4 linked regions of the Nothobranchius furzeri genome follow. The protein of the gene in region 2 interacts with the protein of the main gene of each other region in a biochemical or structural test. Links are inferred from orthologs where the notes say so. Each region holds a gene or a part of one and is shown on either strand. Other genes may lie near its edges.

Region 1 (3,520 bases), on a different chromosome or scaffold from region 2:
TTACAAAAAACAAAATTTCAAATGCAGACAGTATTGGGACAACTTCATACTACTACTACTAATAATCTTTGTGGTAATTAAACAGCAAAAGAAGAGGAGACGAACGAAGCACAAACCATTTATGTTATGGTTTTTGTCTCTTTGGGAAATGCAAAACTCACCTCATAAGTTCTTCCAAAGCCAGTCATTCTAGATGAGATGTACCTAATGTGTGGATAGGTCACTTCAGAAATGCCAGTGTGCTATGGAGGAAACCAAAGATGATACAAAAACACACACATTATTACAAACCCAGGGAAAAGATCAACAGTCCAGTCTGAATTAGGGTTGTCACGGTAACCGGTGTAGCGGTAAACCCCGGTAAAAAAAGTTAATAATGACTGTTTTGTTTAAAAAAAAAATTTATCTCGGTGGATTACAGTGGCTGCGGTGTAGGAGCGGTGACCCTTACCAGCCACCGTATCATCTGCTGAAGTTGCCGGCAGCACATGAGCACTTTGTTGTTTACAACCAAAACTTTCTTGAAGCTAAAGCTGAAATAATGGCCAAAGGAGGAGATGGCAGCACTCAGGACATTTTTATCCCTCAAAGAAGACAAAGTGGGAAGTACGGGCATTTTTTTTGGATATTTGAAGAATGCTGAGGGACAGTTGATAGAAGACAGACGGCTATTCTGTTTGCAGCACGTGCAGAAAAAGTGTCTGTGAAAGGCAGCAACGCTTCAAATCTCATGACACATCTGCGTGACCATCACCCACAACTCTACAGTCAACGCAAGGCAAGCTAACGTTAGCGTTTTAGCTAAAATGTGTGATCCGAGGATTTGGGTTGAGGGAGAATGCAACGAGTCGCTATATAAAGCAGCCGCAGCGCCGCTACCTGCATATAAACCGTGTTGCGGACACCCCCATGTTGAAATGACGCTATGCATTACGGGGCTCCCAGGGGCAGATAAGAGTTGGTCTCTCTCCGAGAATAATTATGAATTTAACAATGATTACTGCCTGATGACATTTTCCCACATCTGCAAAGCTCACTGGAAGGACACAAACCGAGGACGATATTTTCCTGATATAGGGTTTATTACTCAAGTAAGGGTAAAAAAAGTATCTGATTAGAAGGCTACTTGAGTACCGAGTATCATCTGATCTAATATTTTTTAAATGACGACATCAAACAGACAAAAAATAATAAGTTATGGGCAAATATTGGTATTTTAAAGACTAAAAATGTAAACAAATAAACAACATAATTACAAAATAACACATTTTAGGCAAAATTCAGACACAAACTGAGGACAATATTTTCCTGACATACAGGGTTTATTTAGTTGTCTGAAAAGGCAACACGTTAAAAAAATACCGCGATAATACTGAAAACCGTGATAATTTTGGTCACAATAACCGTGAGGTTACATTTTCACACCGTGACAACCCTAGTTTGAATACTTTGAAGCATCGACATCGATGAGAGAAAATCATCATCGGTTCTAAAAACATCTATAAATGTTGACTTCCTGATCAGGATATGCGGTTCTAAAAGTGTTCATGGTAATCATGTGATGGTAAAAGTCACAGCTAATTACAAAACTGATGAACCGCATCACAAAGCTGCAAACTAAAGACACGCTGGATGTGAGTCAAGGATCCAGGATTTGTTGAGCGTGCACTCCAAGTGCCTGATGAGCCGCGGCTAATTGCTTCTGAATTATTCATAACGTTTACAAAACCATCCTTGAGATAACCGATGCTCTAAATAAGCATTCTCGGCTAGACTTATCACGTAAGCGTGCGGGCTGAGGGTTTCACTTACCATGATGGAGATGGGGAAGTGGTGCAGTCTTGGGGGGGCATGATAGTGGGGCAGGTGGGGGTGGAGGTGCCCTGAAGTGTACGGTGCCACGGGAACACTAGCCTCGATGCCAAGCTCCCTGTTGGCGAACAGTAAAGCGTCACTAGGTGTGACTTTTTAAACCAGGAAACAGAATTTAAACATTTAAAACATCTTTTAACTTTTAAATTACCGACTTAAACCAAAACAAATTTGGGTGGAACTAAAAACTAACTGGCTGCTGCCGATACGGACCATGTTGTTCTTTGCTCCGGCTGGCGCGGATGGGAAGACATAGTTTGTGGCACGTGTATGTGGTGCCCATGACCATAGTTGGGGTGCATTCTGTGAGGGTGTGGAGGTGGACGCTCGTGTGCTCGCCTGCAAAAGGAAGACAATGAAAAAAAAAAAGGGGGAAAACAGGCTCCATAAATAAAAGTTGACTTTTTTTATAGCATCATGATGCTAACACTTACGTAGGGTGCTGCATCATCCTCCGCCGCTGAACCTCCATCCTCTGCAGCATCTCGTGTTGATGGAGCCGCTGCGCCAGAGATGGCATGTGGTGCGACAGGGTCTGGTGGTCCGTAGGGAGGTGCTGCGCTAGCGGGGCACTTGAAGTGGAGAGGTGGTGGGTGGACAAGGGAGGGGGAGGGGCGGGGGGCACGGTGTGCCCCGGAGGGTGTGATGGCAGCGGTGTGTGAAAGGGTGGGGAAAAGTTGTGGGGAACGAAAATGTCGCCCTGTGGAGGAGGCTGAGCTGTCAGTTGGGGGTTCCCATGGGAATGGGGGCAGGCGGAGGAGGGCTGATGGTGCAGCGATCGTGTTAGGGAACCGTCTGAAATTAAAATGAAACGCAAAGAAAACAATCAGGAAACAACTTTCTGACTATAGCGACAGAATGATACAACTCCAGATGAACACTCTTCTTATGAGCATCTAATAAATATTCATGTTTCTTTGTTTTATCCAGAAACAAACCATTTAGTTTCTTTTTGAATCTGTACTTTCATTTAAAGAAAATGGTTGATTTGTTCTTGTGAAACTAACAAGATGACTGCTGCGCCCGTGCAAAACGGTTTTTGTTCCAAACAGTCCCGTTCTGTCCTCTAAATTAGGACAAATCTTAAACTAATCTAACCATCATGCTGTGTTCAATCAATAAAACATGATGTTTGTCATTTAAATGAACCACGAACCATTCATTTATGCATTTTCCTTTTTGTTTTGGTGCAAATTTCTTCATCATCTTTTATGGCCGAGGTACAAGAAGAGAAGGTGGAACCAGCAGCCACAGATCCATCCTACACCAGGAGGCCTGTGAGACGGTTTCACTCTCCATACTAAATTATTCTGAGTACCAATTAACTTCGCCTGCCTGGAACAGCTCCCACCGCACTTGGGACATTAACCATCAGTCTCTTAATTACTATTAGCATTAGGTTTTAGGAGTGTGTGTGTGTGTGTGTGTGTGTGTGTGTGTGTGTGTGTGTGTGTGTGTGTGTGTGTGTGTGTGTGTGTGTGTGTGTGTGTGTGTGTGTGTGTGTGTGTGTGTGTGTGTGTGTGTGTGAGTGTACTATTTCCACCAACGCTATGGCATCACAAATGAATTATCACAGTGCAGCAGGAAATTCCTGAAATTCTGATATAATTAAGTAAACTGGATTAAACCGGAGATGAATGTCTGGCTT
Region 2 (2,723 bases):
CTGTGCCTGCTGGCAGCTGTGCTAGCCCTTGTTCCTCTCCTCTGGAATCTGAGCTCAGTTGTGACAAACCAGACCATCGCGTTTCCACCCGAGTTCGAGTTTCCTCGGGCACCAGAGTCCCAGCAGGTGGGAGGAGGCATCGGCGTGGGGATTGTGGGCTCTGTCCTCATGATTGTGTCTGGGATTGTGTTCTGTTCGTACAAACTGCCAGAGAGAACAATACCCATGATGCTTCACTCTGTGCTGGAGCAGCTGCATCAGAGCACTTCCTCAGCATCAGGACCAAACGACCACAAGGCTGTGATCCCCAGTGGCAAAGACAACCCAGCGTTTGACATGGCTGAATACTTCTGATTTATTCTGAGACCCCACATGACTCATCTTTATTTTGAATGACTTTTGTACAAAACTAAGATCACAGGTTCATGCATTTTGTATGTTTTTCTTTCCAATTCAGCAGGAGTAGAAATATTTTTAAGAACAAGCACACAATAAAACACACACACGAGCATTTTCCGTTAAATATTTTATTCAAATAAAAAAATCACATCTCCCATCATTTCAAACCATCTGCATCAAGGTTCCTCCACCCAATCACAGCCCTCCCGGTTCAGGTGGAGACGAGTTCACCTGAGCTGCTCATTATTCAAACACCGACAAGTTTAAACCAAAGGTTCTGAACTTTTTTATTGCATGCATCTCTGGAAGGAAACAACTCATTTATTAAAGTGTATGTCTATAATTTAAGCAGATGTAACTCCACATTGTTACAGATGGTGGAGAAAACCCTCGTGTGGCAGTAGAGACGGCTGATCTCAGGTCAGTTCATGCTGTCAAACATCGGATCACATCCTTATCCAGCTTTACGAAGCAGTTCGGGTTGTTTTTATCGGGTTCAGATTTCATCACAAGACATGTACGCTTCCAAAGAAGCACCAAAATCATTGCTTAAAAACATTTGAACTGCTGGACAGAATCAGCAGAAAGTTTTCATCTATATATACTTTATTCCATTCAAACACATTAATGCTGAACACAAAATATACAAGACAAGCACGACTAAAATAAAAAAGTCATAAAATATCAGCAGAGAAGTTTTAGTTTGGATGAGATGTAGAAAACTGATTTAATCCACAGAAGCCCAGATTACGGCCCAGTAATCCCAGCCTGAGCAGAGACAGGGCTGTTGAACCACCCCAGTAAAAGTAGAAAATGAAACTCATTTTAAGATTTACTGAAAAGCTTCCTGGGATCCTTTTGGATCACAGAAAAAGTGTTTTTAGAAAATCCAAATTTAGAATCAAAAGGTTTTTTTATTTAAATGAAAACATCATTTTACATTGGTAGTTAAATATAAAAGACACATTCTGGTTTCTGACCATTCAGTAAAAGAGCTGTTGTCATGGCAACCTCTGAAGCCCTGAAGTTGCAAAGAAATTATAAAATCTTTTAGAAGCAGACACGTGTTTCACTGCCTGGACCGTTTCAAACACTTTAAAAGTTACTTCTATATATAAAAAAAAAATAAAACCACTCACATCTTAGTTTAAAGAGCTAAAGTCAAGCAACACTAGAAATTCCGTCTCCTGCTTCGTTTGAACTAAATCTGGATATTGTCCATTTATTTCTCGTTGAGGACATTTCCCAAACAGGAGCAGAGCTGAAAGTCTTAAACGGTGTGAAATATCCGGGCTTCAGGACAACAACGTTGTTGGTTTTTATAACTCATACAGCCACTTAAAAATCAGTACGTGTTTTTAACATTTGCTTTTATGACGTTTATTTCTGAACCCTTTGACAAGTGATTAAAAAAAACAAAAGCAGCAACACAGAGGCATGATTTGTGGGAATCCGATATGACGCAGAATGCTAAAGCTCGGGCTGACAACGAGAACGTCCTCCATCTGCAGAACCAGGGACCTGCTGTCTGTGCACCTCCCTGTCTCACACCTGGAAGCCCAGTGAGTCCATTATGATCCAGATGGTTTGAAAACAAACAACAATACATACATACAAAAAACAAAACAAAAAAAATCAAAATAATAATAAACTGAGAGGTTTAATCGTTCCAAAATCCCCCGGTCTGTTCTTGATACACCTCGATGACGTCTTCATCTTCCATCCCAAGCTGCCAGCGACACACAGCAGAGAAATCAGCAAACCAGAAACGTTAGTAACTCCTACAGTCCCACATCTGTGATATAGTGAAAAGCTGCTGATCTAATCATCTTGTTAGGACTCCGGAGACAAACCGTGACTATAAAATACACGACAGCAGCCCAGATAAACGAGTCAGTGAAAGGTTCAGAGCGTAAACAAAACAGATCGGTGAGAATGAACACACTAAGAACAGTTTCAGCATCAACATGACAGAATAATAAGGCCACGGCGGCCATGTTTACCTCTTTTGGAGTCTGGTTGTCTGCGATTCTCTGTCCCTCAAACAGAAACCTTAGTGTGCTCGCTGGGACGCCCTGTGAGAGAAGCACCAGAGGACACATGAAGACGTTTGGGTTCGTCGAGTTTCTCTTTGTTTGGTTTAGAGTAAAGAATCGAGCAGCAATAGGAGCTACAGCTGATCGTACCTGTCTCTGGCTGTACGACTCTTTGAGTTTCTTTAGATGTGTGGTCATTTTCACCTTAAAGTGGATTTCACTGCTGTCCTGTTGCACAAACAAAAGGGTGAGGCAGCAATGAGAATCTGTTCATTTACTGCTTGTTAC
Region 3 (3,520 bases), on a different chromosome or scaffold from region 2:
TCACCCTTGCAAGGGTATAGAGCTGGTCCACAGTTCCACGGCCAGGACGAAAACCACATTGCTCCTCCTCTATCTGAGATTCAACTATCGATCGGACCCTCCTCTCCAGTACCTTGGAGTAGACCTTTCCAGGGAGGCTGAGGAGTGTGATCCCCCTATAGTTGGAACACACCCTCAGGTCACCCTTCTTAAAGATGGGGACCACCACCCCGGTCTGCCACTCCCTAGGAACTGCCCCCGATGACCACGCAATGTTGTAGAGACGTGTCAACCATGACAGCCCTACAACATCCATAGCCTTGAGATACCCAGGACGAACCTCATCCGCCCCCGGGGCTCCGCCGCTGTGTAGTTGTTTGACTACCTCAGCAACTTCTGCCCCCGAGATCGGACAGTCCATCCCCAGGCCTCCCAGCTCTGGTTCCTCCTCGGAATGCGCATTGGTGGGATTGAGGAGCTCCTCAAAGTATTCCTTCCACCGTCCGACTATAGCCTCAGTTGACGTCAGCAGCTCCCCATCCCCACTGTAAACAGTGTGAGCGAGTTGCTGCCTTCCTCTCCTGAGGCGCCGGACAGTTTGCCAGAACCTCTTTGGAGCCGATCGATAGTCTTTCTCCATGGCCTCACCAAACTCCTCCCACGCCCGAGATTTTGCCTCGGCAACTGCCACTGCTGCACCCCGCTTGGCTATCCGGTACCTGTCTGCTGCCTCCGGAGACCCACAGACCAGCCACGCCCTGTAGGCCTCCTTCTTCAGCCTGACGGCTCCCCGAACCTCTGGTGTCCACCAGCGGGTACGGGGGTTGCCACCACGACTGGCACCGGCCACCTTACGGCCACAGCTAGCAACAGCCGCCTCGACAATCGCAGAGTGGAACAAGGCCCACTCGGACTCAATGTCCCCCACTGCTCTCGGGACGTGGTCAAAGCTCTGCCGGAGGTGGGAGTTGAAGACCGTCTTGACAGGTTCTTCTGCCAGGCGTTCCCAGCAGACCCTCACTATGCGTTTGGGTCTGCCAGGTCTACGCGGCATGTTCCCTTGCCATCTGATCCAACTCACCACCAGGTGGTGATCAGTTGACAGCTCCGCCCCTCTCTTCACTCGGGTGTCCAAAACATACGGTCGCAGGTCAGATGATACGACTACAAAATCTATCATCGACCTGTGACCTAGGCTGCCCTGGTACCAAGTGTACCGGTGGGCATCCTTATGTTCGAACATGGTGTTCGTTATGGCCAAACTGCGGCTTGCACAGAAGTCCAATAACAAAACACCGCTCGAGTTCTGATCAGGTGGGCCGTTCCTCCCAATCACACCCCTCCAGGTCAAGCTGTCATTGCCCACGTGAGCATTGAAGTCCCCCAGCAGGACAATGGAGTCCCCTGATGGAGTACTATCTAGCACTCGTCCCAGGGACTCCAAAAAGGGTGGGTACTCTGAACTGATATTTGGCCCATAAGCACAAACAACAGTCAGGACCCGTTCCCCGACCCGAAGGCGCAAGGAAGCTACCCTCTTGTCCCCCGGGGTAAACCCCAACACACAGGCAGAGAGTCTCGGGGCTAACAAAAAGCCAACCCCAGCCCTCCGCCTCTCACCCGGAGCAACTCCAGCAAAGTAGAGTGTCCAACCCCTCTCCAGGTCTCGGGTTCCAGAGCCAATGCAATGTGTCGAGGTGAGTCCGACTATATCAAGCCGGTACCGCTCAACCTCTGCCACAAGCTCCGGCTCCTTCCCCGCCAGCGAGGTGACGTTCCATGTCCCAAAAACTAGTTTCCTTGTCCGGGGATTGGACCGCCAAGGCTCCCGCCTTGGTCTGCCACCCGATCCACACTGCACCGGACCCTTCATGTTCCTCCTGCGGGTGGTGGGTCCACAGTTGGACGAGCCCATGTATCCGGTTCGGGCTGGGCCCGGCCGGGCCCCATGGGCGAAAGCCCGGCCACCAGGCGCTCGCTCACGGGCCCCAACCCCAGGCCTGGCTCCAAAATCATTAGTTTAATTTGAATAATTAAAACTTTTAATCCTTCAAACTTGTTTCCTCATTGAACTGAAACACAGACACTCAGATATTATCGGCAGTTTATGGATGAAAACAACCTTTGAGTCTTCTGAACAATATAAAATTTGGTTATTGATTTATTAAAATTAATATTCCGAATTAATACGTAGCACGGTTTCTCTTTCATAAAAGAGCATAAATCCATAACGCTACACATGAGACCCCTGAACTTTAACCTGAGGGTTTCAGATCAAACCGTTTGTTTCATCTGCTACTAGTCAACAGTTTGACAACGATTCTGCTGGGGATGTTGCAATCACATATTTTTGCTCCCGATTCGATTCGGAGTCATCTACCGATACAGTCCGAATTGATAATTTTCAAGAAAGCATTAAAATACGTTGTCCTTAAAGTTTCACTTTCACTAGTTTAGGAAGTACACCGATTATAAAACAGTGTCAGGATATGTGTAAAATATGTTCATTATATTATGAACATATTTAAAAGTACCATCGTTGCTTATATTTCAAGTTGTTTACTCCCTCGGTATGCAGCTGAATTGATCAATGCACGTTTCCACCAACTAATGGCAACTAAGCCATTGTTACTCCATCTGAAAATCTCTCTCTCAGGATAAATTAAAAAAGTCGTGTTTTCCGATCATTTACTCCCAATCCTTTTTAAATCTTTTGATTGGGCCTGGTTTCTGATCACGGGATTGGATCGGAGCTTCCCTAGTTTCTACAAGTTTTCTGGAGAGTTGAGCTGTCCAGATACATTTGACAACTGATTTTAATGAATCCTTTCCTTAATAATTAATAGAATTACCAGCTGATGCATGACAAATGCGACCAGTTCTAGAGCACTGTTCTAGTTTCAATTTTGACAAAATATTAGGCGTTACCACACATGAACGCCAGCGGCTGATTTTCACCTTCGATGAGGAATGGCTTCTTGTCGTTGATGTACATCAGACAGTAGGCACTGGCATTGCGGTAGCCTCCAAACGAGTCCCTGACTAGCTCCTCCCAGGACGACTTGGTGACGGAGATGTCATTGTACTTCATCCAGCAACACTGATGAGGATCGTAGATGTACGCCCAGTAGTGACCCGCGTTGGCCTGGCCTTCGTGGACCAGCACTGCATGAAGCCGGTATGGAACCTACAAAAATACAAGGGAGGTCAAAAGGAGCTGCCGGGTGATGTGCACCGATGTGTGAGTGTTGCTCACCTGCATCATGGATTTGTCGGAGTACATCAGGTCTATGGATCTGTGGATTCTGCTTATGCTGCCCTGCAGGTCTGACAGGAGGAAGACCGTCATGTCCAATAAGTGAATGTGTGCAAATCAAACGTTCTGTGTCCATCTCCAGCAGTGGTCTCAGAGACTTACCACAGGTGTCGTTCTCCACCTCGCTCCTCCAGCGATGCAAGCAGCCCTCGAGCACCCTCAGCTCTTCTTCAGTGATGTGGCGTGGGGCAGGGTGCATGGGCAGGTCAGGGCGTAGCCGGGAGT
Region 4 (3,788 bases), about 8.7 Mb from region 2:
CCAACAGATATAGTCAGTCTACAGGGAGATAAAATGCTACAAGAATTATTACAAGTTCACATTTGATGTTTTTCTGGCTTTTTTGAAAGAAACTGAACCTGATTTGTTGCTAAACAGGAAAGGATGTTTATTATTATTATTTATTAAAGATCATGTTGCCTCTGTTGCTCGTTCATGCCGCTTTGTTCATTGAGCTCCACTGGCTACCGCTAGCAGCACGCATCAAATTCAAATAGCTAACACTAGCATACAAAGTCCGAGATGGAACGGCTCCCATCTACCTGAATCCTCTTGTAAAGGCTTACGTCTCGGCCCGGCCGCTCCGGTCACCACAGGATGGTCGGCTAGCAGTGCCTACACCACGCTCAGGACAATCCAGACTCTTCTCTTGCATCGTTCCACAAATGTGGAATGACCTTCCAAGCTCTACCAGAACTGCGGCTTCCTTTTCTATTTTCAGGAAACTCAATTTCCCTCTGGGATTAATAAAGTATTTTTGAATTGAATTGAATTGAAGACCCTGCTCTTCAGAGAGCATCTTCTAAACTAGCACCCTCCCTGCACCCGTCCCCCCTCTCTACTGTCCACTCCTTGTTCCCTCCTCTCCATGACTGATGTCAAGTTGTTGTTGTTGTTGTTGGCCTCAAGGGCAACATGCCGATTATCACTTGTAAGTCGCTTTGGACAAAAGCGTCTGCTAAATACATAAACATGAACATATTATAGCGATGAGTTCACATTTTCTTCAAAAAACTTCTCAAGATCTGGCTGTAAACATAAAAACTTGCAGCGAGGGAAAACGGTTTCCTCTTACACGAAATAGCCAATCGTAGTAGAGCCCTTCCAGCCAATCAGAGGCGAGAAAGGTAGGACCTTCCTTGGACATTCTAGAATGCCAAATGACGCTTCCGGGGGAATCCCGAGGTGTTCCCTGGCCAGGTGAGAGACATAGTCCCTCCAAGGTGTTCTGGGTTTCCCTTTAGGCCTTCTCCCGGTTGGATGTGCCCAGAAAACCTCACCAGGGAGGCGTCCTGACCAGATGCCTGAACCACCTCAACTGGCTCCTCTCGATGTGGAGGAGCATGGATCTACTCTGTGCCCCTCCCGGATGACTGAGCTTCTCACCCTATCTCTAAGGGAGAGCCCAGCCATCCTGCGGATAAAACTCATTTCGGCCGCTTGTATCCGTGATCTCGTTCTTTCGGTCACTACCCAAAGCTCATGACCATAGGTGATGGTAGGAACGTAGATCCACCGGTAAATCGAGAGCTTCGCCTTCTGACTCAGCTCTCTCTTCACCACGACAGACCGGTACAACGCCCGCATCACTGCAGACGCAGCACCAATCCACCTATCGAACGAGCCCGACGTACTACCGGCAATGTGGACCAAGCTCTGACACCGGTCATTTAGGGCCCTAACTGCCTGTATCAGAGGGCCTGGTACTCAATACCCCTGGAGTACGCCCCACAGGGCCCCCAAGGGGGTCAAATTCCTTCTCCAAATCCACAAAACACATGTAGGGAAAACTCCTACGCACCCTCCAGGGCCCTCCTAGGGGTATCGAGCTGGTCCAGTGTTCCACGGCCAGGACGAAAACCACATTGCTCCTCCTGAATCTGAGGTTGGACAATCCGACGGACCCTCCTCTCCAGAACCCTGAATAGACCTTACCAGGAAGGCTCAGGAGTGTGATCCCCCTGTAGTTAGAACACACCCTGCGGTCCCCCTTTTTAAATAAGGGGACCACCACCCCGGTCTGCCAGTCCAGTGGGACTGCCCCCGATGTCGACGCGATGTTGCAGAGCCGCGTCAGCCAACACAAATAACAATAACATAATCTAGCTGTGCCAGATTTATTTTCTGTTCATTGTTTACCCAATAAACGTTTTCAAAGAATGTTTTTCAACACAAACTGGATTTGATTTTAGGTTTTCTCTATTAAAGACGGTATTCAGTGATTTTACACACAAGTTATGCACTTTCTAAATAAGATTAACCTCTCTTGTATATTTTTGCACGTTTATTACTTGCTTTTTCGGGGGGGGGGGGGTGATTAATTGCGATTTAGTTTTTTTAGATTTTCAATTAATTAGGTAATTTATTTTAATTGATTCCTGGCCTTAGTTTTTTCTAAATATTTATGTAAAGATCGTAACTAAAGTCAACAGCGGCACACTTCCTGTATGCATGTGTGTTGGGCGTCGCTTGATGCTCTTATTTTGAAGGGCTTTAAGTGCAGCTGGTGTCTTGGCCTGTAACCAGTTACCTCCTGTGGTGTGTGTGTGTCAGGTATGCTTTGCTGATCGTGGACAGCGCCACGGCTCTGTACAGAACCGACTATTCGGGCAGAGGGGAGCTGTCGGCGAGGCAGGGACACCTGGGACGGTTTCTGCGTATGCTGCTCCGGCTGGCGGACGAGGTAGGCTGGACGCGCTGATGTCTGTGGCTACAAGTTCAGGAAATAGTTATTCTATCTATGGAATTACCTTCTGATGGTGAAATCCAGACTTGTTTATTTTCCTGCCTGATGACTGTGTTTGTGCATGCGCTTGTTTGTTTGTTTTCTGGATGAATGGGAGATGGGTACTTGTTGATGGGACCCATTTGGGCTCCTGAAGTCTCATCTTTGTGTTTCTGCAGTTTGGCGTTGCAGTGGTCATAACCAACCAGGTGGTGGCGCAGGTTGATGGGGCAGCCATGTTTTCTGCAGATCCCAAGAAACCAATTGGAGGCAACATTCTGGCTCATGCCTCCACCACTCGGTGGGAACACCTGGCCTTGGCCCTGAAACAGAACCTTTGTGCCTCTTTGCTGTTGTGTTGCCGTAGGTGTTCCTAACACTTTGTGTCTCACCTATGCAGCCTGTACCTGAGGAAGGGTCGAGGAGAGACCAGGATCTGCAAGATCTACGACTCCCCTTGCCTGCCGGAGGCTGAAGCCATGTTTGCCATTAATGCCGACGGCGTTGGCGATGCCAAGGATTGATCCGGCTGAGCAGCAGGAAGTCGTGGCTTGGACTGTTTAGCTGTGAGGCCACTGAAGACCAGATGTTTCCTGCAGACCAGTACCTGGATCGTACTGGTCACACCAGTGTCTTATGTTTGTTGTGAACTTCTGAGAGTTGTACTGAAACACCAGGATGGGATGAAGTCATGAATGTTTCTGTTGTAGAAGGTATGAGAGGGGTGAGGGGTGGGGTCTGAAAAAGCAACCGCTCGTTTCTAATGTCCTGATTTCTGTATAAATACTAGATTAAATGTGTTTTACGATGACAACATTTAGTTTTCTTACAGAAGCACTAGAGAAGCCCACTGATGGTTCATCTGAACTTTAATCATCAGATCAGAGAGCATGTTTGTTAACGGTCACCGGTGGAAAAATCTAAACGTTCAATGGACGATGAAAAAAGATGCATGACCTCCAACATTAACCGGAACCTTCCCCAGTCAGAGGTTCCTGCAGGCCTCACCTCAAACCCAATACGGCCACCGCATGCATGTTGGGTTGTGATGGCCGTAGAATGGACCGCTTACTTTCATTTGTTTGTTCGTATATCAGTGACTTGATCTCTCCAGCTCAGTGGCCTAGTGGTAGAGTGTCCGCCCTCAGACTGGGAGATCAGGGTTCGATTCCTGGTCGGGTCATACCAAAGACTTTGAGAAAATGGGACCCAATGCCTCCCTGCTTGACACTCAGCATTAAGGGGGTTGGATTCGGGGGTTAAACCACCAAATGGTTCCCGAGCGCGGCTGTGTCTGCAGCTCACCGCTCCCCCAGGGGATGGG

The links.
Region 1: the proteins of sumo1 (region 2) and rnf111 form a complex in vitro, tested with the Homo sapiens proteins (3 studies listed by BioGRID). The link is inferred for Nothobranchius furzeri from reciprocal best matches to the Homo sapiens genes SUMO1 and RNF111.
Region 3: the proteins of sumo1 (region 2) and usp25 form a complex in vitro, tested with the Homo sapiens proteins (2 studies listed by BioGRID). The link is inferred for Nothobranchius furzeri from reciprocal best matches to the Homo sapiens genes SUMO1 and USP25.
Region 4: the proteins of sumo1 (region 2) and rad51 form a complex in vitro, tested with the Homo sapiens proteins (2 studies listed by BioGRID and IntAct). The link is inferred for Nothobranchius furzeri from reciprocal best matches to the Homo sapiens genes SUMO1 and RAD51.

The regions. Positions count from the first base shown.
Region 1 is NC_091749.1:59,511,167-59,514,686, forward strand, and holds part of rnf111 (E3 ubiquitin-protein ligase Arkadia), read right to left. Parts: intron 2,668-3,520; coding exon 2,307-2,667; intron 2,212-2,306; coding exon 2,086-2,211; intron 1,931-2,085; coding exon 1,813-1,930; intron 243-1,812; coding exon 162-242; intron 1-161. UniProt on the Homo sapiens protein: E3 ubiquitin-protein ligase. Required for mesoderm patterning during embryonic development. Acts as an enhancer of the transcriptional responses of the SMAD2/SMAD3 effectors, which are activated downstream of BMP.
Region 2 is NC_091743.1:83,218,418-83,221,140, reverse strand, and holds the end of sumo1 (small ubiquitin-related modifier 1), read right to left. Parts: intron 2,664-2,723; coding exon 2,586-2,663; intron 2,475-2,585; coding exon 2,403-2,474; intron 2,129-2,402; coding exon 2,060-2,128; 3' UTR 512-2,059; downstream 1-511. Other genes in the region: claudin-34, read left to right, coding at 1-354. UniProt on the Homo sapiens protein: Ubiquitin-like protein that can be covalently attached to proteins as a monomer or a lysine-linked polymer.
Region 3 is NC_091750.1:42,750,401-42,753,920, forward strand, and holds part of usp25 (ubiquitin carboxyl-terminal hydrolase 25), read right to left. Parts: coding exon 3,398-3,520; intron 3,307-3,397; coding exon 3,236-3,306; intron 3,167-3,235; coding exon 2,938-3,166; intron 1-2,937. UniProt on the Homo sapiens protein: Deubiquitinating enzyme that hydrolyzes ubiquitin moieties conjugated to substrates and thus, functions in various biological processes including inflammation and immune response.
Region 4 is NC_091743.1:91,872,533-91,876,320, forward strand, and holds the end of rad51 (DNA repair protein RAD51 homolog 1), read left to right. Parts: intron 1-2,292; coding exon 2,293-2,422; intron 2,423-2,643; coding exon 2,644-2,765; intron 2,766-2,864; coding exon 2,865-2,988; 3' UTR 2,989-3,278; downstream 3,279-3,788.